3 linked regions of the Nothobranchius furzeri genome follow. The protein of the gene in region 2 interacts with the protein of the main gene of each other region in a pairwise test. Links are inferred from orthologs where the notes say so. Each region holds a gene or a part of one and is shown on either strand. Other genes may lie near its edges.

The links.
Region 1: the proteins of trim32 (region 2) and ptcd2 interact in binary tests that used the Homo sapiens proteins (3 or more experiments, as listed by UniProt). The two-hybrid records come from large-scale screens. The link is inferred for Nothobranchius furzeri from reciprocal best matches to the Homo sapiens genes TRIM32 and PTCD2.
Region 3: the proteins of trim32 (region 2) and CAP-Gly domain-containing linker protein 4 interact in binary tests that used the Homo sapiens proteins (3 or more experiments, as listed by UniProt). The two-hybrid records come from large-scale screens. The link is inferred for Nothobranchius furzeri from reciprocal best matches to the Homo sapiens genes TRIM32 and CLIP4.

What each region holds. Positions count from the first base shown.
Region 1 is NC_091746.1:61,739,378-61,750,436, forward strand, and holds ptcd2 (pentatricopeptide repeat-containing protein 2, mitochondrial), read left to right. Parts: upstream 1-5,137; 5' UTR 5,138-5,154; coding exon 5,155-5,269; intron 5,270-5,671; coding exon 5,672-5,764; intron 5,765-5,835; coding exon 5,836-5,965; intron 5,966-6,052; coding exon 6,053-6,170; intron 6,171-6,248; coding exon 6,249-6,327; intron 6,328-6,399; coding exon 6,400-6,491; intron 6,492-6,600; coding exon 6,601-6,714; intron 6,715-6,793; coding exon 6,794-6,868; intron 6,869-6,944; coding exon 6,945-7,058; coding exon of another isoform or gene 7,059-7,062; intron 7,063-7,383; coding exon of another isoform or gene 7,384-7,386; exon of another isoform or gene 7,387-7,432; intron 7,433-8,477; coding exon 8,478-8,699; 3' UTR 8,700-9,317; downstream 9,318-11,059. Other genes in the region: cacfd1 (calcium channel flower homolog), read left to right, coding at 10,311-10,519. UniProt on the Homo sapiens protein: Involved in mitochondrial RNA maturation and mitochondrial respiratory chain function.
Region 2 is NC_091746.1:55,648,925-55,659,726, reverse strand, and holds the start of trim32 (E3 ubiquitin-protein ligase TRIM32), read right to left. Parts: upstream 6,290-10,802; 5' UTR 5,340-6,289; intron 3,364-5,339; 5' UTR 3,352-3,363; coding exon 1,318-3,351; 3' UTR 1-1,317. UniProt on the Homo sapiens protein: E3 ubiquitin ligase that plays a role in various biological processes including neural stem cell differentiation, innate immunity, inflammatory resonse and autophagy.
Region 3 is NC_091758.1:40,949,194-40,960,168, reverse strand, and holds the start of CAP-Gly domain-containing linker protein 4, read right to left. Parts: upstream 5,923-10,975; 5' UTR 5,741-5,922; intron 5,735-5,740; exon of another isoform or gene 845-5,734; 5' UTR 821-844; coding exon 781-820; intron 516-780; coding exon 369-515; intron 1-368. Other genes in the region: cimip5 (uncharacterized protein C2orf50 homolog), read left to right, coding at 6,429-6,556, 6,634-6,673.

The DNA of each region.
Region 1 (11,059 bases), about 6.1 Mb from region 2:
ACCACCAGATGCGTCTTTCCACACGGTTGTTTAAGGAATGAGAAAAAACGCATAGCACAAGTTGGAGTTAAATAACTTGCAGCTGAAAGATAATCACCAATCCAAAAGGAGGCTTGTACCTACGTATTTGCTTTGTTAAATCCAGGTGGTGACTGTTTTGTGGATGGGCGGTGTGTGGTAATAAAATGTTAGTTATAAAAATAAGCTGCTGGAATAGAGCTATAACCTCAGAAGAGCAGTTGATTTTTGTTTTCATTATGAGAAATATGTTAGTGTATGTTAAACGGATTGTCCAAAAAGTCGGGAAGTGAGATGTTGCAAAATTGTTTCTTCTTCTTCTCCTTTTAATGGGGACCCAATAAATGAATTAATTTAATTTAATTGTCCGTTATTTAATCCGTTGGTTCCTGGCAATATTTACAAAGCAACTAAATTAGAAGGACAAATTTATCGAAACTTTTGTAAAATCGCAGCCGGTTTATAAATTGTTCAGCTGCAGATTTCTCATTTCTGAAATAAAATGAAAAATCAAGTGTATGGTTGAAATACATTTCACATGCCTGCAGTGAACATAAAAATATCACTACTGAGACCTCCAATTTTTACTGAACCTTTGCACTAATAAATCAGATCTATAGTTCTAAACAGCCCAGTTGTGGCCTGCTTTAATGCAGAGCAGTAGAACTGTTTCCCATAATGCAAATCTGCTGTTGTGTAATCCTGTTCAGGTCACTGGGAACACAAACCCTCAGTGGCAGAAAGTTACGGTGTGGGCGGATGTGCATCAGTGTAATTAACCTACTTGCAACCTTAATTTTCTTATTTTTCATTATGATGTTGGTTATCTATGGATTGATAGAGTTTAGGCTCTGGTTTAAGCTGGAATAAATATTCTTCTGAGGCTGAACTTTACGATCACAGGCTGTTCTGCTCACAATTGTCTGTGATAACACAGTTGTGTTTAACCCTCTCAGACTCAAACCAAGTTTTGATAAGAGGACGAACAACTAAGTCCTTCAGGGGTACTTCTGAGTTAAATAATGTCCATGAAATACGTGTGTGGAATAACCAGGTAGGTAGGTTTTAACATTGCTAATCTGCAACGCCTGCCTCCAGAGGGTTAATTGTGAAGTCACTTGATATGTGGTACATTTTCTGATTATTAAAGATTTCATAGTTTAAAAGAACAATATCTAGGCCACTAACTGGGTTTTTATCTTCATCAATATAATATTTTATAAAACCCACTGCATTTTTTTATTCTTTTTCTTTTCCCACCTTCTAGGTAAAAAAAAAAGTGGTTCCAATGGAAGCGTGCATCAAAACGACCGCCTTGGTCATGTGATGTGTGGTATTGCATTGTGAGTTATGGTGGTGTAATTAGCTAAAAACCACACCATAGGAAATCATTGAAAAACCTGCCAAATCCTCATTGCATTTTGTGTTGTTTGTCTGCTGACTTTGTAGTTGACCTTTGACCTTGAACCTTTATTTACACTTTAAAGGTACAATAACCCAACTAGCATAAATAGGTGGGCCCCATATGGATATGTATGGGCAAGCCAAACGGTTGCCCACAGGTTTTGTCCTCGGTCTCTTTGGTGAGTCCACAGGGGTTTGCCCACAAACTTTTGCCAACATAGGTTTTAACAGGCCCTACATGGGTTTTCAGAGGGACCTAGATGGTTTGACTCATACAAGGGCCTATTCAAATCATTGTGGGCAACACCCTGTGAGGCTACAATAGAAAACCACAGATAAACCCTATTGGCACTCATAAGGCGTACCCGTATATATCCACATGGGGCCACCTATGTAGGCTGGCTGGAAAGTAAAACTTTTACAGTGAATTAATCACAGAACACGCTAAAGTCTCAATCATGTTAGAAGGAAGGTTACACTGAAGCAGATTTCATTATCATCCAGCAGATTGGATGCCAGGCTTTCTTCTTTCTAAAAAAGCTGAAGAGGGATGTAGTCACTGTTAGCTAACACTGCTGCACCAGCATTTGTAATTCGACCACCAGCTGACAAAAAACTTCAGAGTTGTGGACAGTATGTTAGTCAGTAACAGGAGCGACCCAGAAGCTATTTCTTGTACCCCTAAGGAGCAATGGCATCTTTTTGTTTTACTCTAGCAGGCTAGAGGCTATCGTTGAGCTAACATTGCTAATGGGGAATTAGAAGCAAATAGTCAGCTCTAAAAATATCTCAATCTACTTTTTTAATTAACGAAAACTTGATATTACAGGGAAACGTGTTTACCAACTAACTGTGTACCAATCAATCAATCAGATTTTATTTATAAAGTGCTTTTCAAGCAAAGTGTTTTACAAAATGACCCCAAATTCTCATAACAGCATAAAAACATACACACACACAGACATACAGACACACACACACACACGCACACACACACACACACACACACACGCACAGACATACAGACACACACACACACACCCGCACACACACACACACACGCACGCACACACACACACACACACACACACACACGCACGCACACACACACACACACACACACACACACGCACACACACACACACACACGCACACACACACACACACACACACGCACACACGCACACACACACACGCACACACGCACGCACGCACACACACACACACGCACGCACACAGAAACACACACACACACACACATACACACACACACACACACACACACACACACACACAGACATACAGACACACACACACACACATACACACGCACACACGCACGCACGCACACGCACACACACACACGCACACACACACACACACACACACGCAACACACACACACACACACACACACACACACACACACACACACACATCAGTAAAAATTTATATTCGGCTGAGTCCAGATGAGCCAAGTAAGGTAAGGCAAGGAAACGCCATCAGAGGGGCCGTCTGCCCCGACAGCATCCAATTCAATTCAATTCAATTCAATTCAAAAATACTTTATTAATCCCAGAGGGAAATCGATTGCTGTAGTAGCTCAGAATAATAATAATAATCAAGTCATCAAAGAGTTATTGTATATTACAATGGTTGTAAGTAAGTAAGTAAGTAAAGTTTATTTATATAGCGCCTTTCACAGATATAAATCACAAAGTGCTGTACAACATGAGTAAAATCAGGGCAAATACGTCAAACCAAAAAATACATCATAAAAACAATAGCAGTGACAACAATAGTAACCAAAATCAGGAGTAAAAACAAAGTCAAGGTGTGAACAAGAACAAAGCCATCTTTTAGAATATTTAGCGGGGGAAAGCCTGGATGAAAAGGTGAGTTTTAAGATGTTTTTTGAAGACCTCTACAGATTTCAAGAGACAGAGATTTGAAGACAGACTGTTCCAAAGTCTGGGGGCAATAGACTGAAAGGCCCTGTCCCCTTTGGTTTTTAGTCTGGTTCGAGGAACAGCCAGGAGGTTTTCAGATGTGGATCTGAGGTTCCGTGAAGTGGTGTGTGGGGATAAAAACTCAGATAAATAGCTTGGAGCCTGGTTGAGCTCTATAGGTCAGGACTAAAACTTTAAACTGTAACTTGTTGCCAGGAAGGATCTCCAGTTGCAGTCAGTGTTGCAGCGGAACTGAAGAAGCCTCTGACTGAAGACACTCTTCCGTTGTCGGACAGTCTTGTGAAGAGAATGCTCAGGGTTGTCCATAATTTTCTTGATTCTCTGGAGAATCTTTCTTTGCATTATCTCCTCCAGAGGTTCCGAAACTGCCGAAACTCTGTTTGAGTCCTTGAAAGGGCTTGGAGTTCCTCCATCTTGTTGGCCAGTGATCTCACATTGCCCATTATGAACGATGGAAGAGATAGTTTGAATTTCCTTTTCTCTGCCTCCGTTTTGCTCCCGCTCTGCACCCATGCATCTTGCGTTTTAGCTCATTTGGGATTTGTGGCTTCATTTGAGGTATTATTTCAGCCTTTCCAATGTTAATCAGCTGCTCTCGATTGTAAACAGCTTATTGCCATGGTTACGCATCATAACAAATGCTCAAAAAGTGAAAAAAGCTAAAAAAATAGCAGTAAAAATCCTCCAAGCTACAGCACCAGAAACAGAAAAGAAAGTGTCCAAAAAAATACAGTTTTTCTTGAGAAACTAGAAGAAAAAATGCCCAAGAAAAGGCAAAACTTACATATACGAATGCTTATTTGAGCAAATAAATGAAGCTTTATGAAGCTTTATTTCTGGAATTTATTAATTATCATTGTCATTAAATTGAAGTTTGACAGATGACTTGATTATGTCATGAAAATTCAAAGACCATTTAACTTGGACTTGTCTTGGACTTCCACATCACTGACTTTGGACTCGACTTGGACTTGCTTGTCTTTGACTTGAGACTTGACTGAAAAGACTTGCAACTTACTTGTGACTTGCAAAGCAGTGACTTGGTCACACCTCTGTAAGACAGTTTGATTATTATTCGTCACTTTATCATTTCAGGTGCAGACATAAATAACGAAGGCTGCCACACAACTGCAAATACAAAAACTTTTTGCAGGAGTAACCTGTATTTTTATATTTCTGCATTTTAATTTATTTACAATAATTACTTTTATTACCCTGTCTAATTTTCTTTTCATTCTTGTGATGCCCTCAAGTTAGAAATTCAACTATATAAAGATAAAAATCCTAACGATACCACTGTTGTATTTAATAAAGCCGAAGGAACTGAACAGCCCCTGACTTGTCTGGTATAATAGCGCCGCCTGCAGGCCAAACGGTGAATACAGAAACTAAACTCGTTGATTTTTTTCATAGACAGTAAAACATGTTGTAGATTCCAACATCACAAAATATTGCTATTTTGATATAAATAAAGTTAGATACGTAAAATAAATGCATTACCTCTATGCATGATCGACGGACGGCGCCATCTTGGAAGATACCAATGGCTAAATAGGGACTACATATCTGGCGAGAGCCACTCCCGAAATGGCATTGTTTTCCCTCTATTGTGGAATTTGTATATGTTCAAGCATTTGTGAAAGAAGTAGAATTTATTTTAGCCCTCATAAGCTCTCTCTTATAAGCGCCTCGTGATTTACTTTCTTCTTCTTCTAAACGACACCCCCTTTTTTCTGATCACCGTGGTACAGTCGGCCAGTGTCATGGCGCTGCTAGGGAGACTGGCTGGAAAATGTTGTCGGTCTTTACTGTCTGAGCCCTCTAAAGGTCTTTTCTGTGGTGTTTTACAGCCGGTTTGGATTAAGAGCTGCGTTGGAGGTAAGAAATGACGTTAGCAAGTGTCCAGTTTGATCTAATTATCGTTATAATAAGGCGTTCATGTACAAAAATGAGAAGCAAACTAACAACAGTCCTCACGTCAGTGAAGTTCACAAACTAAATATGGGACTGCTTGTAGATTAAAATAATTTAAGATAGGCGTTGACGTGTTTTATTTTGAAATACCTATGTTGACATTTCTGTCTTGCTTGCTTGTAAAGGTCATTTGGTAAAGTAAAGAAGAGTCCGCCTTAAATCGTTTCACATCAAAACAATAGACGTTTTTGAAGTTTGATTTCAAGTTTTGGCATAAACTTGGAAGTGATTTGTTTAAAAATATGAATAAATGTATGTATTTCATTATCAGTGATGGATTATTCCACATTTCTCTCCTGCTTGTAGCCAAGAGACATTTATTGTCTGAAGATGTTGTAAAACTACAAGGTTTCCAGCAAAGTAAGCTGGCTGTGGCCCATCTTTTGACAGGATCAGAAGGTAACAAACCATAAATCCAAGAGCTGAGGATATATGTGATATTATCTTACATCTTTACCTGCATTCCACAGGAAATTACATCGATCTGTTCAAGCAAAAGATGCAAAGAAATGAGCTGATTCTCCGAGATGAGCTGAAGCTGCTCCTTCACTTGTGTCAGACTCCAGAGGAAATGCTGATAGCCAGGGATGCTATCTACAGGTGTTGTGTTGTCACAGAAACAAACTAGGGGAAGCCTTCTTCTCGTCAGGCTCCTGAAATATCTGATTCTTTGATTTACCTTGAAAGGTATAATGCAGAGAACCGTAACTTGTTGTATGGGGATTTCAAGTTTGGCCCTGTCTTCATGAGACTTTGCTACGAGATGGGTCTGGAGGAAATGGCTGCTGCAACAATAACAGATAATGTAAGAATAATAAGAAGTTTGACAAATGGCTGTAAATTATGTGTAAAACAGGAAATATTTTTTACATTTTTTTTGCAGGACATGAAAGGATTTTTCATTGACACGACATCCTTCAACATTGCCGCTGACATGTTGTTTATTAAAGGTTCTTATGAAAGTACGTGGCAGATACATTTGGCACTTTTAACTGTTACAATTGCACGTACATAACTTTTTATATTGTTCGCAGGTGCTATGGAAGTACTAAGAACCATGAGGGACCAACGTGTTCCATTTAACAAAGACACAGTGACGCTGGTGACTGCTATCTGCTATAAGCTGGTAATGCTTTCAAATATTTAATCCAAATTCTTTTAAATAAACTTCTGAAGATGTGAGCTCTTCTATAGTTTATGGTTTTAGGCTTTTGCACCTTGTGTTGTTTTCTTAGAACACTACAGAGTCCTACAAGATCTGCACTGGTCTGATAGAAGAGGAACAAACCAAAGGGCACTTCATCCCCCGACATGCATACTGCTTCGCTGTGGCATTAGCTCTAAGAAGGGTCAGCTGAATCTTTTATGCATGTATTATTTTTTTCTTTTAATTCTTTTAATACAACATATTTTTGTATTTCCCCCCAGAATGACCTACAAAAAGCTCAGTCACTATATTTACAAATTATGAGCTCCAAGGGCAAAATTTGCCAAAATTTTAAGGTAAAATGCAGATTTAAAGGAACCATTGTCAATATTTTCTTCACCTTTTTATGTATGTACTGTTTTTGTCTTTTAGGTTGTAATTCTAACAATGTCAGGAGAAGTCACAGAAGCAGTTTCGTTCCTCTCGGCAGCCATGTTACCTAAAAGCCCAACTTTTGTGAAGAAAATGGAGTTTTCTCAAGAGGTGGTAGGTAAAAAGGTTGATCTTGTTCACGTCTTTAGCTACAAGCAGTGGTGCACCCAGAACATTTTCACATGACCAAATTGGTCCCTGTGGAAACTGTGGGAATGTTTAGCCTGTAGTGGTGTATTGCAGTCCTCCTTTATTATTTTTCATTAAAAAACAAAAGGCCTATGCGTCTGTAGCGGAGGCAAATCGACGATTTTATCTGTTATGACCATGAAGATGTAATATTCTATATAAATATAAAATATTAACCTGCGAGGTCTTTATTGTAATTAATCAGAAGATTCTAGGATTTATTTCAGAAGAAGGTTCTTTTCTTTTTCAGTGATCAACCACACTTCGTGTTACTTCAAGAAAGAGTCAGGTTTATAAAAGTAAGAATTTATTTTTGTTAACAATTTAAAACATGACTAATTAAGGTTGGTTTATGCTTGACGCGTCCGCACGGCTCCGCGCAGCAAAATTGCGTCATTTTAACAACCACGCCCCTCCACCGTGCCTCCGCACGGCCCAAAATTTCCGCAACGCGCACCTAGGAAAATTTCTAACCACGCGGACGGTCCGACGTGGAAAAACATGGCGGACCGGCAAGAACTAGTATGGCAGAGGTTCGTAAATACAGACATTTGTATGATTCAGCTCTCAGAGATCACCGTGATCAACATGTTGTTAATAATTCTTGAAGAGAAATGGCTCGCACTGTCGGAAAAGACGAGAACGCTGTTAAAAATGCTGAAATGCCGTGTTGTAAACAGTAATTTCTACTTCTACTATGGTGTAGTGTTGGATGCATGCCGTAGAGCTCCATGCTGCCCCCTACAGTTTGGGAGAATATTGGCTCACCGCAGAGACGAGCCGCACGAACCATAAACGCTGCAAGTTGTGAAGCGCGTTCCATCCGCGAGCCGCATCACCAAGCGGAAAGTGAATGCGTCAAGCATAAACCAAGCTTTAGTTAACTATTATTTACTGTGAATGGATGGAGCCAAAGGTAAGGTCTGGAACCTATGTGTGGATGTGATATCAGCCAGAGCTTTCTTATCAAAATGAGCTGAGTTCTGGATGTAAAAGAATTTGGTCTGCGTTAAACTATGAAGTTGTTATCGTCAGAAGCACATTCAGGCGCAATCTCTCTGTGCTCTACCTCACCCTGTGATGTCATGGTGGTCTTTTCTGGAGGAAGAGTGGGGAGCCCAATAATTTTTCCAGTGGTGGTTATGGCCCCTTCTGGCCACCTCTTGAGGGTGCCACTGCCTACAAGTAACTTAAATGCAGGGAATGCTCCCATAAGCAGTGTTAGCTTGGTTCTGTAATCCGGTCAGTGGAAAATCACATCAAGTTTGAGAAACATCCAGATTGTTTCATAATCATTCAGAACAAAATGATAATCGACTCCGTGACTTCTCATCGCTGCTTCAGGTGGATTTGCTTCGTTTGCGGAGCGACGGCAGGCCAATTAAAGGGAAAGTAGACGAGATCGTAACTCAGCTGGAAAGAGGCGGTCAAGTGACTCAGCAAACCCTTGATGAGATGCTGTGTCATGCCCCCACTGGGAAGAGGAAACCGGCGCTGTTGGAGGAGGTGAGCAGGAAAAGCCGAAGGACTCTGAGACCTCTTCAGTTCACTTTGTTATCAGAGTGAGTCCTGGACCAAGTCAGAATCGGCCGACCTGTATGTTCATCGTGAGCTGATACGGACCGTCAGGGCTCTTCTTGTTGCCTCATTTCTATTATCAGTGTTCTAGATTCACTTCTGAAGCAAGCACAAAGATGTAGAGGAGAAAAACGCACTAGAATGACCATTTTATTTTCCTTCTACATGATAAAACTTCCACACCCTTTACAACAGAGTATCAGCTGTAACTAACTTATATCTAAGCTGCCCTTAAAGAAATCTGACTAAGTTCACACTTGTGTCATTTAAAGTTGTTGGCAGGTACTTTATTTAAATTGCATATGTAAATCTAAGGTAGCATATAGTCTTGAGTGGTGTTGGTAATCTGCAGATACATTATCAACCTGAACACCCACAGTCTGCAGGCATGTCTTTGGACTCGTGGCTTTCCTGACACAACTAAAAATGGTCCCTGGAAGAAGAGAAACATCATGTTAGATGTGCTTGCTGATAAATGTCAGGAGTCCTTTTCTGAAACTGTGTTTGAACAGACTCTGGGAGTGTAAATGAGAGATGTGTGAGACGACGTATGAAAGGTTTAGTAATAAAAACAAAAGAAAAAGAATAAAGGAATGCTTTTGTTTATTTCATGTTGTGCACTCAATTTGAAGTCATTATCTTAAAGATCTATTTAGTTTTTCAAAGAGAGAAGAGGGATATTTATTTATACAAAAATTAATGAAATTGAGTCCAAGTTTAGGTTTTTTGATGTTTTCAAATCTTAAACCTTATTTTTTTATCTTCCACATTTAATTCACTTTCTTTTGTTGCACAAATGTTTAATGCAGCTATCTGGAGGACATTAAGTTTATAGGTGCACCTTAAACAACCAAGTAAATATTTTATTTTGGATATTTTTCTATTTCTCATTCTGAAACACATAACTCAGTGATTTCTGAAAGTCCTGTATGAGGTATGTTGGGCAGTGGGTAGATATCCTTTAATACAAATAGCTGTTATTTAACTTTTAAGAATATTATGAATGTGGTTTTATAATTACCGGTATAGCATTGTGCTTTGTGTACAGTTTCTAAACAAGTGAGCATTTTGACCACATCTTTTTTATGCATATATCCAACCCCATACTGTGGATGCTATTTAAGTATATTTCTTTCCTTTTGAAATATAAGTTGCTTTTATTTCTAAATTTCAAGATATTATTCCCAGTTTAACTAAATTTCATTTTACATTTAGTTGTGTGATGATTACACACACACACACACACACACTTGTCTTGTATTTGTTGTGAGGACCGTCGTCCATTCATTCTACTGACTGGATTGTGCCTAACCATACCCAGTCTATTCCTAACCCTAACCTTAACTTAAACTTAGGCCCTGTCCACACGTAGCCGGGGATCTGCCAAAACGTAGATATTTTCCTACGTTTTGGCCTGTCATCCACACGAAAACTGAGTTTTTTCACACGAAAACGGATCTTTTTAAAAACTCCGGCCAAAGTGAAGATCTGCGTTTTCTCCGTTTTGGGTGTCTGCGTGTGGACAGACACAAAACCGGAGTTTTAAGGTCCGCAACGTCACTTTCCGCGACACAAAAATGCTGACATCACGTGTGCGACATGTGTTTACACTATCCGGCATCACGGAAGCCTTCAGAGCTGCGCTCTGTCACTACCCGATCCATCAATTGTCCAAGCGCTTTCTGCTTGTTTGTTTTTGCAAGCGGAATTACTGCTCCTTGCGGAAGACCACAGACGAAGGATGAGGTTAAGAACGGGGGAAGTACTGCCGCCTACAGGTCTGGCATGTCCTTAACGTATTTATCTGGGTACGTGTGGACAGTTTGTTTTTAAAACGCGGTGGTGTGGATGCAAGTTTTTGGAGGGGCGGATATTCGTTTTTAAAAAAACCCGGCTACGTGTGGACTAGGCCTTAATTCACACCATACCTGAAACTGATGAATAAAGCTATGTAACACTAACCAAAGTGATAGCCAGGGAAAATGTCCTCAGTTTGCAGGTAAAAAGCTTGTCATTGGTCCTCACTTTGATACATAGACAAATACACACACACGCACGTGTTCATCTGTGATTTTTTTACACACAATTCCTTTGTAAAAATAAATCTGATTTGTTGTTAGAGACTAACAATTGTTCACAAAATCTATCAATATTGGGAAGTTTTCATCCCATTCTCTTATCTAAGAAAACAAAAGATCACCCCATTCCTTTAACCCTCCCACTGTCTTTATGGGTGACCCCGCGAGGAAAGTTGACCACTGAGCACACCCATCATCAGGACAGTGGGAGGGTTAAGGGTTAAACATACTTTACAGCATTCATGTAAACAAATATGACGCACATCAAGT
Region 2 (10,802 bases):
TAGTTATGAGTGCCATGCATTCCTGGATGTTTTTCTGTAAAAAGGGGCAGTGTTGACATCACATCACTCATCACAAGTCTGAAGGAAAAGCAAGGATCCTGCACAATTTCCCAGGTTTTAGATGCATTTGTCTACTAAAAGGATAACAGAGAAGCTAAAACCCGGAAATGTGTAAAAAAAATAAATATTGCTTTAATATCACTGGCCACACATGACACAATTGCACTGATGTGTACTCTACTAAATAAACATTTTTGGAGCAGAAACATTTTTTTATTCATCCCATGTTCTTTCCATACTTAATAACAGTAAGTAGCCTTAACCAACACTGTTCATGTTGAGCAAAATCTTGTCTTCTAAATTCAGAAGCTTTTCACTTGTAAAGGCGAGTGCTTGTAAGTTCACTGAAGCAGAGCTAAACCAGAAATGAACCAGCCTTTGTAACTTGTAATTACCTTCAGTGTCCATATATATCCTCCTGCTTTAAGCTCCAGAATAGCAACAAAGAAACAGAAATGCAATCGTGATACAGTTGGACCTAAGTTGCCAGGAAACCGTGAGAATTGTTTTAAGAAATGAAAGCTTCCGTTTTTGTAATGAATGCAGTTTTTTTTTCTGAAAAGCTGAACTAAAACTAAAATGGAATTTTTAAAGAAACGCATTGCTTTTAGTGACCAAAAAACCCTTAAAAATGTTAAAGAAAATAAATAAAATATAACTGTACCAACGAGGAAACAACATGACCCAAATGTAAAATCAAACCCCCAAACAGCTATCACCATGGCTCCATATTTATCACACAGCCCTTCAGGTTATGATTTTACAGTTCAGCACTCGTCTAGAAGGTACTTCCTATTCTGCACGTTCTCTGAATGTTGCCAAATGCAAATGATTGATAATTCATTAGACTTCTGTCATTAAAGACTAACAAAGTAAATGTTTAAAGCTGCCAGCTTCATTATCATTAGTGTGCTACTGAAACCCGTTGATAGGACACAGTGGTGTCGAGAATAAAGTGCTTCACAGGCCAAAAGCCTTAGTGTGCTTTATTTCATATGTAAGTATATTATCAGCCACTGTTTCTTCAGGTTTACTTACTTCACACACATTCAGGCGAAAAGATGAATAAAACAGCCAATAAAAAGGACCTGGTGTCATATTGGTGTTTTCTCCCGTTTTTAAGTTGGAATACGAGTTTACAAATGTGGTGTAACAATGAAAGCCAGGGAGGCAATTGTTTGGATTTAATCTACACTAAAGCTTCCTTTCTCAAAGGTCAATTCTGACCAAACCTACTGAACTTGTTCAGTTCATCTTTTAAGTGGAAGAATGCCTCTTTTGAATGTATGTATAGACTTTAACACAGTGGTCCCAGCAATCTAGTACTAACAGCTGCCCTTTCTGGGTAGTGGCAACCCCCACAGGGCAGTTCAGCCCTTCTCGGATCAGAATATTAAATCCACCTTCTTTGGGAAACTGCAGGATTTCTTTTCTACCACTGTCTGTAACCAGCAAGTCCCCGTTGGCATCCACACACATGCCAGTGATACAGCGGAAGTCCTCGGTCTCTGAGAAGAAATGGCTGAGTTGTTTGCCAAGCTGGCCATTGGTGCCCACTGAACTGATGGAGAAGCCACCCTCCAGGTGGGGTTCATTCTGCCGCTTCTCAAAGTTCAGGGCCAAGCCCTGGGTGAAATATACCGTTCCTGCTGTGTCACACGTCACAAACTTTGGCCGCACAGCAGAGCACAATCGGTTGTAGCTGACTACGCCTACGTTGCGGTCCACAGCGAGGCACCACAGCTTGCCCCCTTCCACATCTGACACCACAAACTGACCTGACGGCATGGCAGTAATCCCCCATGGTTTGATCAGTTGGTTTTTGTGGCTAGCTACATAGTGGCCATCCATTGTGTAGACTTTTACAGAGTTATCATAGTTGTCAGTGACACCAATCAGGCCTTGTGGTGTCACAGCAATTGATAAGGGGTTTAGATTTGGCAGGTCAGCCCCAAAGAAGCTCAGGACAAAGTTGTCAATGCTGGCATTACGTCGGATTTCACGTGGGATACCTTTGCGATTAAAAATCTGGACACGGCAATTTCCACGATCAGCCACTAGTACATCACCTTGTGGCGTCACACAGATGCTCACTGGTAAATTAAACATCCCAGGTAGAGCTCCCTTACAGCCCATCTTCTTTACAAATTGGCACACTGGTGGTCCTGAACTTGCTCCAGCAGTTGATCCTCCTCCTTCATCCATGGACTTGGACTTAAAGCTGCCTGGTGAACCACATACCGTCTCCTCTACTGCAGAGACCATGTCGACATCCCTGTAAAGATCCACCGGAACCTTTACAGCACCTCCTGTGGCACCTCCTGGCCCAGATACACTCTCAAATACAGTCTCTGCACCTCCATTGTCTTCCTCTGTATTAATGACGCAAGTGTTTGTGGTTAAATGCCCCACTTCTAGAGGTTTTGATTGCTCTATTCTCACCAGCGCCGGCTCTTGAAGCTGAAACTGTGTGGATAAACTGCCCCTCAGGTCTAGCTCTTCATCGTCACTTCCTGCACCATCATCTTTGAGCAGGGCGACATCACTCTGCCTTACTTGCACAGTCAGATAATCACAGCGTGACACCACTTTTACTTCTGCGAGGTTGAGAAGATACGTTTGTTCCTCCAGGACCTGCGCATTGAGTTTTTCCACTTCTCCCAACGAGGCTGTGAACAGCCTCCGAGATCTGCTGAGCTCCCCTTGAAGATGTTGCTCAGCCGCGTTGTACTCCAGCTGAACTGCCCGATATTTTTGTCTCAAGGTCTTAGAAATATTTTCAATCGCCGTCTTCTTCTTTTGAATTTCACCCATGACATCCCGGAGAGCAGCCAGCTTCCCGCCCAGTTCTTTACGACGCTGCTCAGCAGCCACCTTAATTGGCTGAACTGAATGACCTTCATGCAGGTGGCCCTCACCTTTACACACTTCACAGAGAACGGTAGAACAGTCGTGGCAGTACTGTCTTGGTAGACGGTTGCAGCAGGACTTGCACATTAGTGCAGCAGCAGCAGCACTGCAGGACAAAGTGCAATCTATAATTTTTAGCACAGTTAGATTATCTGCCAGCTGAGAGATGCTGCTCATCCGTGAGACTTTGCTGCAGAAGGGGCAGCGAACGCCATTAATAGTATTAGCCAAGAGTTTCTCGAGACATAGTCGACACACTGTGTGGCCGCACTGCAAAAGTTTAGGTCTCAGGTGGTCCTGATTGTAGGTCTCCAGGCAGATGGGGCATTCAAGAACCTCCCTCATTAGATCTGGGTCCAGTTGGGAGCACGACGCTGCCATTATGGCCTTTTCCTTGAGTGGAGAGAATGGAAAGAAAACAGGAGGGGAGATGTAAATGCAAATGTAAAATAGTTCACAACTAACAAATGCAGGAAACAATGCAAGAATAATCATTGTGTTTCATTTATAGAGCCCTGTAAAATAGAAACAAGTCTGTCTTAGACTTAGATGAAAATGTAGACCTTTTACATTTTCATTGTGGAATTATTAAAAATTTAAAGCACTGAGAAAAACTGAATCTGGAAGGAAAAGAACTATATGACACAAATTATAATGCATTTCTATGCAATGTATTGAATGTGTAATTTGGGATCTGAATAATCGCAAAATGATTTAGTTGACATAAACAACTAGTACAATTATTTGACACAATGTTTTGCAAGCATGCTCATGTTGAGATCCTTCATGTGAAAAATGCAGACAAAATTGTAGAAGGAATGCTGAAACTTGCATATTTTGTCAATATCTATGAAACCTATAAACAATGTTTATGAATTTAGAAAACAACTTTGAAGTAAGTTTTATTGGAACTTAATTGATTGAAAACGCAAGAAAACGTAAGCGTTGGAAAGTTGAGCCTCATCAACGCAGAAAGCACTTATGCTAGCTCACTTTCGTATGACAACTTTTCAGCAGAAGACAGCCAGGGGTTCAAAAAGACTATTTTGAACAAAAAATTTAAAAACAACATTATAAGCAAATTAACTGTGTTGCACCCTCGGGGACTTCCAACGACTAAATATGTAAACTACGAAACAGCAGATAAAACGAATTCCTGAACATCATCAATCAGCCAAACCTAGTAAATACAACTAAAGTTTACTTACGTAAAAGTTCATATGCAAAAAGTTTCTACTTAACCAAAGAAAAGACTTTCTTTACTCCCATGTGAGACACTTCAGAAAAGGGAAATAATTTATTTTTAATTATTTACAGGCAGATTTTTAAGTTCCTTAATAAATTAAACATTTTTTAAACATCGATTTTTATTAAAAATGAGTCAACATTCATGATATTTTGAGTGTTTTTCCATTAAACTGGTAGATAACTAACGTGATGGAATATTTACCTGAATAAACTTGATGCAATTATTATTATTATTTTTCCATAAACAAGCAGCCCTAGTCCCACATTTGCCATGCCTCACAGCTGAGTGTTGTATAAAACTAACAAATTATTACCGCATAGCACAACATCTATAATGAAAAGCTTACTTTGATGATGTTACTTGAGTAAAAACTAATTAAAATGATACATATTTCACATCAGAAGTAGTACATACAAAAACTTAGCAAATATTGGCTGTTGTTTCTGTAAAAGGAAGATTCCAATGAGTTTATGTACATAAAGCTAAAAGCCACAAGTCCTATCAATGGTAGTTTAATAACTGAACGCCAGCCGACTAATCAAGATTAATGATTCAGTATTTATAGTTAAACCTTTTGGTTTTGTATGAGCTGAGGCTGATGGATATATTAAATAAATTTCATCATTTTACCACAGCCAAGATCTAACGTTGCTATGCTAGCACTTTCATGATTGATATTAGCACAGGTAGCTAATAAGTCACGGTGTAAATAAAGGATAAACTCAGCGATAAAAAGGAAATAAACTGAAAACAAGTCGCATCTGGAGTCTGGTTTGAGATGAAATATTGCTGTGAAGTGAAGCTAAATAACGAATAATGTAAGGCTCTCTGAAATCTAACCGATAAACGACGTGATTTAGTCACGCACCAACTGGGCAGGCTTAAATAACGTTCCCACTATTTTGTTGTTAAACACTAATACATTTTGCAGTTTATGCAAAGAGCGAATAAAAACGAGGCCTCTTCACATCACAGCAGTTGTTGTCATGGTGGTACTTAAACGCAACGCGACAAATGAATGTATTTTCATTCAATCACGGGGCTAATTATGCATCCATGACTTAAACAAAATGTTCATTTTTAACGTTTCCTTGTAGGCATTTCTGCTACGTATCCTTACCTTTTCTCCGGTGCTTGCTTAGATTACTTTGGGTGTGCAGCCAGCCAGCTACAGTAGCTGCTAGTGAAGAACTGCAGTGTTGACGTTGACGACTCCTCCTACGCAGACGGCGTAAATTACGATGCAAAGCTCCGTTTGTTCTGTCTGATTGGCTGGTGCTGGACACGTGTTTAACGCATGATGCGTCAATTATGCATATTATTACCAACAGATGGCAAAAATAGTATACAACTCACTGCATATTAAAGTGAATGCCGTTTAACTTGGTTGAACTGGTAAACTAAGCTGAGGAAGAGACCCTCAGAGGTGAAAAATGCTTCCTGAACATTTTTTGTGAACGTGTTTATGAGGGTGGTTTGTAACTACAGGTAATGGCCACTAGATGTCAGTATATATCTACTAGATTATGTTCATTCAGTTATTCTTTGGATCATGTTTTTAAAACCTAGAAGATGTGTCTAGTTTTCATCAGAAAAAGAAAAATATTTCAAATTGCTATCAACACACCAGTTTGAAACACTTGTCGTTTTGTCTCGCATTTTTATTTGTATGAATCATTTAAACTATTCTGTCTCAAAAATAGTTACCGTAAATCCTCTAATACAGGCCCGGGCCTATATTTGACTCAAGCTCATCAAGCTCCAGGCCTTTATTGGAAGGAGGGCCAGAATTAGAGGCAGGGCTCAATTTCTATTTGAGCAAAATGAACTAATGGTTCGCTGGAGTTTTTGACAATTAAAATTGTGCCCACATTTTCAAAGTTAAACACATTTCTTTTAACAACGGTAGTTTCTGCTTCAGCCCTCTCCCCCCTCCCCCTGCGCAGCGGCCGCAAACTCACTGATGCGCCTGCAGCCTCTCGGAGTTCCTGCTGCTCTAAACATTAAAATAATTATTTCATTTTCTGTTCCTCACTTCTGATTACCTTCAATGGTGTCTGTTTGTTGCAACCACCAGGTACAAATCTAACTTGTTTTTATTTGACTATTTTTCTGTCCTGTATCTGTTTATTATCTTCCTGCATCTCCTCTCAATCCTAAAGAAAAACTGCTACCTGGGTTCATATTTATTCACCTTATGAGTTACCTTTGAACTGCAGTTCTAAAAGATCTACGGACCGCAAAAACAGCGGAGTGCGCGCTGCTCGCCAGCCACATCAGTTAGGTGCATCACCGAGGACAAAACAGGTGATGCGCCCCGATCCACAGCAGCGAAACGCATCAGGCACAAATAAAAGAATAAAAGACAGAAAACATAAAAGGAAATGAGCCGACATGAACAATCGCATGTTAAATTAGTTTTTGAGGTGGCGACACCTGATTTGATAATGTTACTGTGGCCGTGCTCAGGACACAGATGTCTGGAGCGCGTCAACAATCAGAGCTTTGCATGCGCAAGCTGGTTAAGGTTAGGATGGGGGTGAGGGGAAGATTAAATCGCAAGAGGGTAAACGTCACAATTTGGTTAAATGTCCGTTTTACGGTGGGTGTCAGTACTGACGCTCTGTCACAGCGCGTTGCCTCCCGACGCGCAGGAGCTTGTCACCTGCTGACAGCAGGCTGCTGTCTTTTCCATGGACTGCATCTTGCCGGTCATTATCACGTGACAGCGACTAGTCGATGACAGGCATAAAAAGTCACTATAGAGCGGTGAAGTCGACTAGTTCATACAACCCCTGCTACTGCTCCCCAGAGTGTTCTGCAGCATAATCAGCACGTTCTCTTTGAACTTGAAATCAAATTTTTGCCTCCTCTTTGTCTCCGCACGGTTAAAGTTACCCTCGCGGTCTATCACTGGCAAATCAAAAGTGAGACGGATGACACAACCGCCCCCTGTACTTGCTTGTTACCACATTCCACCCAGCCACAATAAAAAAACAGCCATTATTCACGTCCGCCGACTCCGACACCGGCCAAAATATGATACTGGCAGTTAATTAAATACAGGCTAATATTAGAGGATTTACGGTAAATTGGTTTAATGAATCTGATCCAGCACAATTGTTTATTATAGCAATAACATCACCACAAAGTGCTGCAGAGATCATGTGTACAGATACATCACATGACACTTCCTTATACCTACTCCACATGAACACATGAATAGGAAAATAAAAACAATATGTAAAATAATAATAATACTAATAATAATAAACATATGTTTTATATAGCGCTTAATATAACTACTTAAAAACAGTGTGTGTATATATATATATATATATATATATATATATATATATATATATATATGAGAGAAGAGAGAGAGAGAGAGAGAGAGAGAGAGAGAGAGAGAGAGAGAGAGAGAGAGAGAGAGAGAGAGAGAGAGAGATCTATGGTGCCCGTAGTCATCGGGGCAGTAACCCCCAAACTGGAGGAGTGGCTATAGCAGATCACAGGAACAGCATGAGACATCTCAGTCCAGAAAAGTGCAGCTCTAAGAACAGCTAAGATACTACACAGAACCCTCAAGCTCCGAGGCCTCTGGTAGAGGACCTGAGCTTGGAAGGATGAGACCACCCGTGGAGAGTGAAATGGGAATTTAAAAAATGTATACACATACACACACACACACACACATATATATATATATATATATATATATATATATATATATATATATATATATATATATGTGTGTGTGTGTGTGTATATGTATATGTATATATATATATATATATATATATATATATATATATACACTCAAAAAAAATATAAACGCAACACCTTTGTTTCTGCTCCGATTTTTCACGAGATGGACTTAAAGATCTAACATTCATTCCAGATATACAATATTACCATTTCTCTCAAACATTGTTCACAAATCAGTCTAAATGTGTGATAGTGAGCAGCTGTGTTTTGCTGAGATAATCCATCCCACCTCACAGGTGTGCCACATCAAGATGCTTATCTGACATCATGAGTAGTGCACAGGTGTACCTTATACAGGGAGTGCAGAATTATTAGGCAAGTTGTATTTTTGAGGAATAATTTTATTATTGAACAACCGTGTTCTCAATGAACCCAAACAACTCATTAATATCAAAGCTGAATGTTTTTGGAAGTAGTTTTTAGTTTGTTTTTAGTTTTAGCTATTTTAGGGGGATATCTGTGTGTGCAGGTGACTATTACTGTGCATAATTATTTGGCAACTTAACAAAAACAAATATATACCCATTTCATTTATTTATTTTTACCAGTGAAACCAATATAACATCTCCACATTCACAAATATACATTTCTGACATTCAAAAACAAATCAGCGACCAATGTAGCCACCTTTCTTTGCAAGGACACTCGAAAGCCTGCCATCCATGGATTCTGTCAGTGTTTTGATCTGTTCACCATCAACATTGCGTGCAGCAGCAACCACAGCCTCCCAGACACTGTTCAGAGAGGTGTACTGTTTTCCCTCCTTGTAAATCTCACATTTGATGATGGACCACAGGTTCGCATTGGGGTTCAAATCAGGTGAACAAGAAGGCCATGTCATTAGTTTTTCTTCTTTTATACCCTTTCTTGCCAGCTACGCTGTGGAGTACTTGGACGCGTGTGATGGAGCATTGTCCTGCATGAAAATCATGTTTTTCTTGAAGGATGCAGACTTCTTCCTGTACCACTGCTTGAAGAAGGTGTCTTCCAGAAACTGGCAGTAGGACTGGGAGTTGAGCTTGACTCCATCCTCAACCCGAAAAGGCCCCACAAGCTCAACTTTGATGATACCAGCCCAAACCAGTACTCCACCTCCACCTTGCTGGCGTCTGAGTCGGACTGGAACTCTCTGCCCTTCACCAATCCAGCCACGGGCCCATCCATCTGGCCCATCAAGATTCACTCTCATTTCATCAGTCCATAAAACCTTAGAAAAATCAGTCTTGGGGTATTTCTTGGCCCAGTCTTGACGTTTCAGCTTGTGTGTCTTGCTCAGTGGTGGTCGTCTTTCAGCCTTTCTTACCTTGGCCATGTCTCTGAGTATTGCACACCTTGTGCTTTTGGGCACTCCAGTGATGTTGCAGCTCTGAAATACGGCCAAACTGGTGGCAAGTGGCACCTTGGCAGCTGCACGCTTGACTTTTCTCAGTTCATGGGCAGTTATTTTGCGCCTTGGTTTGTCCACACGCTTCTTGCGACCCTGTTGACTATTTTGAATGAAACGCTTGATTGTTTGATGATCACACTTCAGAAGCTTAGCAATTTTAAGACTGCTGCATCCCTCTGCAAGATATCTCTCTATTTTTGACTTTTCTGATCCTGTCAAGACCTTCTTTTGACCCATTTTTCCAAAGGAAAGGAAGTTGCCTAATAATTATGCACACCTGATATAGGGTGTTGATGTCATTAGACCACACCCCTTCTCATTACAGAGATGCACATCACCTAATACGCTTAATTGGTAGTAGGCTTTCGAGCCTATACAGCTTGGATTAAGACAGCATGCATGAAGAGGATGATGTGGACAAAATACTCATTTGCCTAATAATTCTACACTCCCTGTACTGCCCACAATAAAAGGTCACCCTGGAATATGCAGTTTTTTGCTTTATTTGGGGTCTGGGGACTCAGAACCGGTCAGTATCTGGTGTGCTCACCATTTGCCTCATGCAGTGCAACACATCTTCTTCACATAAAGTTTATCAGATTGTCAATTGTGGCCTGTGGAATGTTGGTCCACTCCTCTTCAAAGGCTGTGATCATTTTTAGAACTTTTTTTTCTTTGTTGTTCTTTTGTTTGTTTTGGGCAAACATGTCATGACTTGTGGTACAATTCTAATAAATAGTTTAGCATTACAAATTACAGTGTTGTCTGAATTGAATCTACTGAAATGTTTTGCAGTGAAGTAAAATTAATAAGCTGTTGCTAGACTTTGACCATTTTCAGCAAATATTTTACTTAAATGAGTAACTATTTTTATCATCTAGTATAACGTGACACAATGTATCACATTTGAAATTACAAAGTAAAACAGAACAAAAGTATTTTCTGTTTTAATTCAATTCAATTCAATTTTTTAATCCCAGAGGAATAGAGTTTCAGTACACACAATTCTGAGATCAGACATACATACAGGGATAGAAAACACGACAAGAATTGGTGACTGTGGTCATTCGCAACCCGAGTTGTGCTACCTTAATAGAGATCAGAGGGGTTTATATATGAGGATTGAGTCAGTGGAGGGAAAAAAAGGCACTTCAGAAAAATGTTTCAAATTGCTATCAACACACCAGTTTAAAACACTTGTCGTTTTGTCTCGCATTTTTATTTGTATTAATCATTTAAACTATTCTGTCTCAAAAACAGTTAAATTGGTTTAATGAATCTGATCCAGCACAATTGTTTATTATAGCAGCAGCATCACCACAAAGTGCTGCAGTGGTCCTGTGTGCAGGCTTTACTTTGATTTACTATACTCTTGAGTCATTAGAGGACAAAACTGTCCCTAATGAAGCCTGAGAGTTAAAGTGTATG
Region 3 (10,975 bases), on a different chromosome or scaffold from region 2:
AGATCAACGCTGTGCAAAAGTCTTGAGTCGCTTTAGTTTTATTTTGACAAAAATCAAAAGTTCTGCAGAATTTTTTTAAATCCAACAGTTTTATCTGTTGTTGAACAAAGTGAGATTTGTTAGCGAAGCAGGAAAAATAAACACAAAAGTGTTGAGATCTCATCGATCTGTGGTGGAACGTCTGCTGCAGCCATCCGATTACTAAACACAACAAGATCCAAACACCCAGCATTCAGACAACACTTCAGTAAATGTTAGCATCTGTTGTCGTTTACCACATTCTGGTGTGTAAAAACAGAACTAGAACAGATTTCATAAGGTCCTGAAACCAGGAACATCACAGCTTTAGTGGCAGTTTGGATCCTCACCACAGTCATCGGGCATGGGTGCAGACGCCACCTGGTGGACGACGGCCCGCTGGTGCGGCGTGGGTCTGGTGCTGCAGCCCCGGACGGCGTCCCCTTCAACGGGCTCGGACGCTTCCTCCTTTGTCATCTCCCTCTCAGGGACAGAAGCTGGAAACAACATTAGAAAGTCTATTCTGGGAAGACAAGTAGGTCTGATTTCTTTATAAGAGCAGCTGAAGCACATCAGAGGTCTCTGAAGACAAGAGCTTCACTTTCTGAGAATAAATCTACATGTTCTAAGCTACAAGCTAATGTCAAAACATCAGATGGAAAATACCTATCTAACCCTAACACACACACACACACACACACACACACACACACACACACACACACACACAATTAGCTAACTGTCCTGCAGGCTGACACTCACTGCTTTCTTCTCCACCATCCTCCTTCTTGATGACCTCCATGAAAGCCTCCCGGCTGAAGCTTAGCTAAAATCAGGGGACACAGACCGGGTCCAGCAGATGAAGAACATCCAAACACAATCTCTTATAACACACCCTCTCTTTTCATTTACACCCTGTTGATCCCCCGGCTCCCAGGCTCAGAAGCCATTTACAGCCTGCACACTTTAAAGCTGTGGTGGTCTCACCTCTGACCTTCTCAGATAGAGTTTCACTCTCGCCGACCAGACACGGCACCGCCGACCCCGCCGCCAACAGATTAGCCCAACAGATGAGTCACGGCAGCGAGAAACTTGGCCGCGGGGTGATGGTGCAAATAAACACCGCAGGAGAGGGCAGCAGAGGGGTGGATGTGATTAGGACTGCCCTTTCAAAATAAAGGCCCGTCTAATTCCAATTTACACCCCACCCACTTCTACAGTCTTGTCTTTGCTCAGAACACAGAGGAGAGGAAATGGCCTCAGCAGGATGCAATTAACAACAAACATTTAAATGAACTAATTATCATTATTTGTACTTAATTATTGCTGCTGACAAGTGAATTAAAGTCCATGCATGAAAGGCAGGAGAAGCTCAGTGTGCACCTGATTTTATTATTTATTGGCCTACTGTACACCTCACTTTGCATCTCACTGTTTGATTTCTGCTTGTAGGATCTCCTGTAGCGTACTACTGCAGTCCAGGCAAGAATTAATTAGTATTATGATTATAGAAATAATAATTATTATAAGAATTACTTTTCTGTTGCCAGATCAGAGTTGGAAAGACAGAAATGTGTCGTTTGGGCTCTAAATTTAATTCAAGTTCAATTCAAGTTTATTTACATAAATCATGACAAGAGTCGTCTCGAGGACCTTCACACAGTAAACACTCCATTACAGGTCAGGGGTCTCATTTATCAAGCTTGCTTACGCACAAAACGGGGTCAGAAAACTGCGTAAGCAACTTTCCACGCAAACTTTGGGATTTATGAAAGAAAACTTAGCGGAAAAATGTGCGCAACTTTAAGTTGACTAAGGACCTGGCTTACGCTTCCTGGCTGCTGAGAAGGATAAAATGATGAAATCCTACAGCATTATCACTTGTACTGCTTCGTTTTCACACAGAACAAGACCCCCCACACGCACACTCACACACATGTGCACCTGCACACACACACACACACAGCCTGAAGCGCAGAATACGGAATGCTGAATATCAGCAGGAGGACAGGTTGAGACAGAATGTCATGCGTCTGTGACAGTGTGTGTCCTGTCACTGTGACCCGATTGATCATGCGCCCTGGCTACTTGTACAGGAGGGATCTCTGTTTGGCTGACTGGTTAACGCGTGTGACTTTCACCCGGGAGTCTGGGGATCAAATCCGGATTGGACCTTTTTTTTTTATATATCAGTTACAGATCTCTCTGAAGAACTCAGCATTGACGGCTTCAGCAACGCTGTGCCATTCCGTGGATTTTCTCTTATTTATTTTGCAAAAGCACTTCCTTTCATTTCTCCACCTCACCCACAGATACCTCAACTTCTGCTTGTGAAGTAGCGCTTCCTTGACCTGCGGTCGTGATTGAAATGCTGCAACAGCCGGCTTATGTATATGCATGAGATCCACAAGGCACTTTGCATTGTCTATTTAAGGCAGAAAGTGGGCGTGGTGAGGGCGGGATGTGACTAAAATGCAGCTGAGAAACATTCTCGTTAGTCTCTGATTTATGAAGCGGAGATTGCGTGCAGCTGTGCGTATTCCATGTATGATGGATCACAAACCTACTTGGCGTAAGTACATGTTTTAGCTGAGCTTAAGTACGGTTTTAGTACGGATTCTGCACAATTTTTGATAAATGAGACCACAGTTCATTAAGCCAAATCAAGAAAAAGTTTCCTGTATAAGGAACCCAGCAGGTTGCATCGAGTCACTGACTAGTGTCAGAGTCTTTACAGCAATCTTCATACTAAGCAAGCATGTAGCGACTGTGGAGAGGAAAACTCCTTTTTAACAGGAAGAAACCTCCAGAGGATCCTGGCTCAGTATAAGCAGCCATCCACTCGGCCGCGAACCTACCCAGCAAGAGCTGAAGGTCAGAGCTGGATGAAGCTAGGAGGACCACATCAACCGCAAAAAGCAGAGACGAGATTCTCCTGCCACCAAACTCGACACACTCCACACCACGGCTGCACCTAGAAATTCTGTCCATAAAGATAATGAACAGAATCCTTTAAATGTTTAAAACCTCAGATGAGCAAACTGCAAGTTTTCTTTTAAAAATAAATAAATAAACAAACAAACTCGGTTACCTAAATATCCTACAGCGCTTCTAATTTTCAAGCTAATTTTTGTAACATAATTACTGTAATACAGCAACACACTAATAAAACTGTCTTTTTGCCAAGTGCTGCACTGAGAGTGAAGAAAATGATGTTTTGAGTTCTGGAGTTTTTCATGCTTGAAGGATTTAGTTGAGAAGTTTGGTTTAGCAAACCCTCTGAAATGGTCAGGTACAGGTAGGTAAGTGGTGAAAAGGTATAAATAAGTGAATAATAAATAAAACCAGAACTTTGGAAGGTGAAGAGGACTGTTACTTGAAGGTAACAGGTAGGAAAGTGTGTTCAGGACTTTTACACAGTGCTGTGTGTACTCAGTACTATGGCTGCACTATATATAGTAAATAGTTAGAGCAGTATCAGTGTACACAATAGAAATACAAGACGCAGAACTTCTCATCTATTCTCTTTGAATAAAGTCTACTTTCCCTGGCTCATAAATGACTATATAATTTTATAAGTGTTATATAATCATATTTTGTTGAATAAACAATATGTTCAGATTCAAAGTGTTTTAATTCTGATTTGTTTAAATTTGTAAAGAGTAGCTAATAAAAATAGAGTTCACTTCATGAGCTAACGAGTTCACAGCCAGCTTACTCGGTTAGGCCGACCGGGTGAGCAAGCACTTGGGACCATCCTCTTTTGACCTCAAGGTGAAAGCTTTTCTGCAACGCTTGCGAGTGGTACCAGACACTACAGCTCCTCAGACGTGGAACGTCCAACTAGCAGACCCAAGCATCTCATGGCCGGTGATATCTGTATTCAAAGAGAGCTGCGACTCTGAGATTCCAGTAGCCACTGCATCCAGTGAGTGTCATCATCAATCTGGCTGCCTCTTCTCCTGACCACGGAGAGAGACCGTCCAAAACCGGTATTATATACCTGCACACTGGCGTCGGATGGTTTTTCATGAATAATCGATAGCTTATTAAACCATACAGTCATACTGATTTTAGAACCGTGACATCACAAGATCTCAGATACTTAAGGTTTTGCTACAAACACCTAACTTACGTTCCATCACTTAATTCATTGTCTGTTTCTACAACCATCATGTCATTCATAATTTGTCATGTTTAATCACTAGTTTAGGAAGATAGTTTATTAAAATGAATTTAATTCCATTTCCTCGACTGTCTGAAATAATATGGTGTGTGTTTCCCTGAATAGTCCAAACCTAAGTTAATATTATATTAAAAAATTCAAAGACCAAGCAGATTGATAATTCATAATATTTATATGGAGCATCACATCTTATTGATCATTTGATAAATGAAGCAACAATCCACCATACTGCAATTAAGTGTTTTGATAATAAAAAACAAACTTGAGTAAAAATTATAGCTTTATCTCAAGTTACAAATACAGTCAGAATATGTATTATTAAAACACATATTTTGTTTACTTCAGCTAAGAAATATCTACAGTCTGCAAATCTTGGAGTGTAAAGCTGAATTAGAAAAGATTGTTCACATTTTGGACTTTAAAAAGTTTGTGCTGTGAGGTGATGCTGCATCTGTGATATTTTAGAAGTCCGCTCCCCTTCTCTCATCTAGCTAAAGGCTTGCTTTGTTCTAATGAATTGTTGGATTTGTATAATTACTATAACCTGTGAGGCGTTTTGGTCAGCTCACATGCAGTTTTTAAATGTGCTCGATAAATAAACTGGTATGGTGGAAGAGACATCATCTAGAGCGGTATCTCTCTTGTTGTGAAGCACTTTGTGGTTTTTATCCTGTGAAAAGTGCTACACAAATTACTTACTTGTATGGTTTATCTAATATTGTGCAGTACTAAGCAGCAGCTTTTATATCTTCGTTAGGGTTAAGTTTAATTTGTGTGACATTTAGGAATGAAAGCCAGCATTACACCAAGGTCACGTGTTTGCTGCCTTGAGATTAGGACTTTGCAGTGACAATGACCTCCTTTTTCACTAAGCTTTCTGTGGCTGTCTCCTGTTCTCACTCAGTCTCAAACACTTGGCTAAACATGGCAGCTGTATGTTTACCACTGTAGCGATGCTACATGTGGATGCAGTCAGCTGTCCCTTTTCCTGAATAGTTCAACTGTATCAAAACCGAAGAGAAGACAGGAAGATGGAAAGTGGTCCAAATGTTCTCAGTTAGCCCACTAGCTAGCACAGCTCGTTATTTTAAGTCGCTCACGTGCTACATGCTGAGACAGACCCAATCAACGTAAACGAGAGCACCTGCGTGCATCCCGTTACTCTGCAGCCAAACATTACCTGTTGAAGCTACACAACTTGTTAGCATCGTTAGGTGATGGTGGACTTGGACTTTCTAGTATTAAAGGCTACCTGATGTTGGTTAACAAAACAGAAGCTGTGCCTCTTATTTCACCAAACTACGTCTCTGACAGCACAAATAACCACATAGCTATTTTAAAGCCCAAAAGGAAATGTTAATGTACATCAGTTAGCCAGTTAGCGTATGATCAAAAGTTGTGGGTTAAGCTGAGGTTAAGCACCAGTTAGACCACTATTTAACCAACTGCACCAGGTAGTATCCGGTATCTAACAACAGTTAAGACCAACAGTATTTCGAAAATCAAGCACTTTGTAGAAGTTGTTTCCACACTCACGTTAGCTCCTTAAATTAATGTTGGTTGGACCAACAAGCATCTCTACAAGCACTGACCGGATGTAGAGAAAATATTTTTTTCATTTAAGAGTAAAAAAGGTTTCGAAAACACGCGCACACATTACCTACAGCTCACAGCTCGTCTAAAATCATTGGTAGCTGGTTAAGCTAGTAGCGGATTTTTACTCCAGCAATCCTACCGTTTCCGGTCTCAACCTTCAGAGCAAAAGCCGCTAACACCCACTTCCGACCTTCGCAACAAAAGCAAATTAAGTCGTTGAATATTTTGGTAAATTTTGTTAAAATAAAGTTTTAATTAAATATATTCATATTATACGTGAGATGTATAGCTTCATTTTTATCCAAATTAATCCATAAAACAATGATGGATGGGTTTTTTTGTGTGTCGAAATAGATTAAATGCTAAAAACCCAGATTATTCATGATGGGATAAACAATATCTTTATTCAACTCAAAATTAAATTAAAATACTTCATGATTGTGAGCTTGAGTATCACAATTCACTAATAAAGAGCAGGAAGACCTTCAAAATTCCAATAAACTTGTTTTCATTTGGAATTAAGAATTTCTGCTAGCAGTTTCCGTGCTAACGTAAACACGTTAGAAACGGGTGATTACTTGTTTATGCTAGTTATTACTTGATCTCGCTTCGTTCTGCTGCCCCGGAAATGAAAATGGAAGGAGGAGCGTCGGAACCGGAGTCCCAAACGGAGAATCCCCGCTGTGTGCATCCTTCGAAGGACCCAGCCTACTCGGCCGACGTAAACATGTGGCAGATGCGCGCAGACCGGAAATGGTGAGTTTATAAAGTCCCTGAAAAAAGATGAAAAACGTTTTTATTCTCTCAGGAATAAATCCGAATGTGGTCCACAGGGAGAAGAAGTGGGGATTTCTCAGGACACTGGACTTCACAGTAAGGAATGAATCGTCGACATACATATATGGACAATGGGTTTCCATAGGCTCCAATAACATATTTTTGAAGATAAATGGGAGGTGGCCACCACCGCCATTTTGACCGTGTCACAGGTTCCGTCAAGCCCAGACAATTCCACAAAAGGGAAGAGAGGTGGAGCTGAGGGTGGGGCTGTAAGGCTGGGATCAACTGGACACCCGGTCGAACTAGCTACAAGCTAACCTGAAGCTAACCCAAAGCTAATGCGGAGGTGGGAGCTAAGCTAACGGAGGTAGCAACCTAGCTACAACCGGAGTTAACTGTGCACAACACCAGAGCATCTGAGTCAGAGATACGCCGGGCTGACCGCTGGGTAAAACCGGGTGGAACACAGAGGTCTCCGAGAGCTCCACAAGCTGGCAGCCGCACAGCAGACAAGGGCCGCTGCGGTCTGAGATGTGCAGAGCTGCTGCTGGGGAGAACCGGGTGGAAAGGTTTCTATCCCAGAGCACCACAAGCCGGTAGCCGCACAGCAGACAAGCGCCGCTGCGGTCTGAGATGTGCAGAGCTTCCGCTGTGGAGAACTGGATGGAAAGGTTTCCATCCCAGAGCTCCACAAGGCGGCAGCCCACGCAGCACACAGAAGCCGCGACCTGCGGGGAGGAGAGAACCGGGTGGAAAACAGAGGTCTCCCGAGAGCTCCACAAGCCGATAGTCGGAACCCAGCTCCACCAACATGTTATATTTCAACCCATTTTCTAAAATGCAGCATTGTGTAAAATGGGTTTTACCCTATTACATTTAAATTTCACGGTTAAACAGTACATGTTAAAATCTAAGCTCAGCTGGGCAGTGACCTAAAATACATAAATATAATTTTACTTACCGAAAAAAATGAAGTGGAGACTCCTTGGACGCTCTATTAGTGCAATTAATGCCACAGCAAGTCATTTTGTCCAACAATTGCACAAATAATATCCAAAACAGAATACACAAACACAGAGACTCAAAATCCCGGAACAGTTTCCAGGCCAGACCGAGGCTCTACTGAGGCCTTTCCACGGAGCTAGCTCTGTGGTCACGTGGGTCTGATGCTCATTAATTATACAGAATTTTAGGCTTTTAATACACTTAAACAGAAGAGTGAGAAAAAATTCACCCCCCTCAGAGTTGTCATGAGTGTAAACTAGATCATTTAAACCAAAAACATGTTTTGGTACCAGGCTGTAAACATGTTTATTTCTGCTGTGAAATTGGTATTTTTAACATGGGAGTCAATGAGGATTTGCTCGCTTCCGACACCAGCCCCCAGCGGATGAGGGTGGAACTGCAAGTTTTGGTACTTCCGGGTTGAGACCAATTTCTGAGCTGCATTGTGGGGGCTTGGAATGAATGAAGGAAGGAATATTTTATTTGGGACAGTGCATGTTAATGAAACATACATGTAGGGATAGTATGAATGTAAACACGCCAGATTGTGGCCTAGGGCTAATTTCCATCTGTAGTCCTGAGATGGTTGTCACATTAAAGTCCAGTGACGTTAACAAAGAGTTTGTTGACAAGGAAATAAATAAATTTAAAAAAGCCGTCAATAAGACACAAATATGAGATTCTGGGTTCTCTGACATTCAGAAAGTGGTCCAGGGATACTAAAAAGTGGTCCAATGGCATCATTTAAGTGAGCAGTGATAAATACTGAGGGATACAGTACGGTAGTAGGCCCATCGGTGAGGATAGCATAGTTCACATTTTTAGCATGCATTATTACAGATTTTGTGTAAGGAGTACACACTATTAGCATACAGGAATTGCATTTGTAGTGACAATATCTTGGTTTCATGATTATGTTTTTGCACCGTGGTTACATAGCTGATTTGACCAGAGCCATTTTTTGGTTTCCGATTTGAATGTGGCGAAGGTGGAACATTTTCCAATGGATTGGGGGAGGCTGTTCCACTGGTGGTCACCCTGTACTGAGAAGACTTTCTGCCCAAATGTTGTTTTTCTGTAGGGGATCACTAAGTCCCCGCGTGATGATGTGCGGGTGGCTCTTTTTGAGGTGCCATTGTATCTAATAAAGTCGCTTAGCGGAGGTGGAGCGAGAGAGTGTAGTACCTTGTATGTTAGACACAAGTTTTTGAGTTTGATTAGATTGTCTAAGCTGAGGAGTTTATGCTTTTTCAACACGTGGCAGTGGTGGTGAGCCTTGGGTTTTTTATCAAGCAGCTTTAGGCTTCTTTTTTATTGTGTTATGACCGGTTTTAGTGTAGTTGGGGAGTTGAGCGACCAAGTTGTCAGGCTGTATTCTAAGTGGGAGCTGATCATCGCGTGAAAATAGATCTTGGCAGTCTTTGTGTCTAGATTGTTCCTGATGTGGTTAAAGTTTTCATTATTGAACTTGAGCAGAAATGCATTTGATTTTTGTTGATTTAAGCGTTTTCCTTTCAAAATTACATTTGATTTTTGTTGTTTTAAACAACGTTTTGTGAAGTACATGCATACAGTTTTGGAGGTGTTTAGTAGGAGACAAGATTCATTTAACCAGTCGTAGATTAATGATGGAGCTACTGTTAGGTCATTACCAGCCTGTTCGATGTTGTTAGCTTGCAGGTATATGATGACATCGTCCGCATACATTTGTGTGTAGACATTTTTGCAGACGTCAGGTAGGTTGTTGATGGAGAGAGAATAATATTGGTCCAAGAACCGATCCTTGGGGAACGCCGGTCTCAAAGTCAAATTCAGTTCAAATTCAAAAATACTTTATTAATCCCAGAGGGAAATTAGAGTTTCAGTACACACAATTCTGAGATCAGACATACATACATGCATACATAGACACTTGACAAGAATTGGTGACTGTGGTGATTCGCAACCCGAGTCGCGCTACCGTAACAGATCAAGAGGGTTTATATGAGGATAGAGTCAGGGGGAGGGAAAAAAGGCACTTCACAGTTACCCTCAACAGAGAGGGTGGCTTTCCTATGCAAAAAAACACCTCAGACAGATATGCACACAGACTTCAGACATTACACAACATAAGTGCCCGCTAGGTGGGGAGGTAGGGTTGGGACTCTCCTCACTTCAGTGCGTGTAGCCGCATGGAGCAGCGCTCATCACCTCCATTTGGATAGGGGAGGGAGATAATGGGTTAGAGGGCACATTGACTCCTAGATACAGTTCCACGGCCTTCACCGGTCAGTCCCGCCCAGGCTGGGATAGGGGGAAAGAGTTTCCATAGCGACGGCAGCATTCCAAATTTCTTCTGAGGGGGGTGTTTTCACTTCAGCCTCACAGACTCAAGGGCACCAGATTCAGATAAGAATTGTTTTGGGGACAGACAGAGATAATTTCCTCTCTGCCTTAGAATTCTTTAGGTCTCCAACCCCTCTGGATCCAATAATGGTGTAATTAATCCATCCCAATCCGTGCTGATCCAGCACGCAGTCCAGATGTGTGGATTTTGCTCCATCTAAGGCCACGTACTGTTTACGTTCACTTAGGTAGGAGGCAAACCATTGAAGAGCTCGGTTGGAGATGTTAAATTGAGTCAGCCTGGATAATAGCATGCGATGGTTAACTAAGTCGAAAGCTTTCTTTAGATCTAGAAAGACTGCCCCGACGCAGTGACTCGTCCAGAAAGCTTTTCAGGTTCTCTATTAATATGCACAAGGCTGTTTCTGTAGAATGATGGGATCTGAAGCCGAATTGCATTCTGTGGATTGATGGTTTGGTCAAGATGTGCGGTTAGAAGTTTGACTACCCATTTCTCTCCATATTCTCATGCGGTGGCCGGACTGCAAGTCTCAGGCGAGGTGGAAGCCTGAGAAGGTGGTGTGGAGAGCTCCGATGTTGTGGTAGACACTGCAGTGGTGGGGCCGTGGGTCCTGGCGTGCGATGCGGTCGAGGTGATCCCTCGTGTGGGGGGGTTGTATCCCTTCGTGACGGTTGTAGAGCAGGTCCCAGGTGAGATGTAGCCCGTGGTTGTCAGCGTAGGTAGGTGTGCCGGCTTGTTCACAAACACGAGAGACACGAGCGTTCCTTTTACTGAAGTTTAATGCGGTCTTGCATCTTCTTTATCTTTACACCACATGAACACCATAGAACTAATGAAAAAGCATAAATCATGTACAAATTAACAAGTTAGTTGCCTTAAGTTTGCTAACATACAGAGTTTATAAATAAAGAATAAACATACCACTTTGGCCTGCTAGTAGACAAACCGGTAGACTTCAAAACACTTAACTTTCTTCTCAAATGTTCTTAATTTGCACAAATTTGTCCGTTCGCATCACTAAAGTCTGAAGCTACGAGAGACAG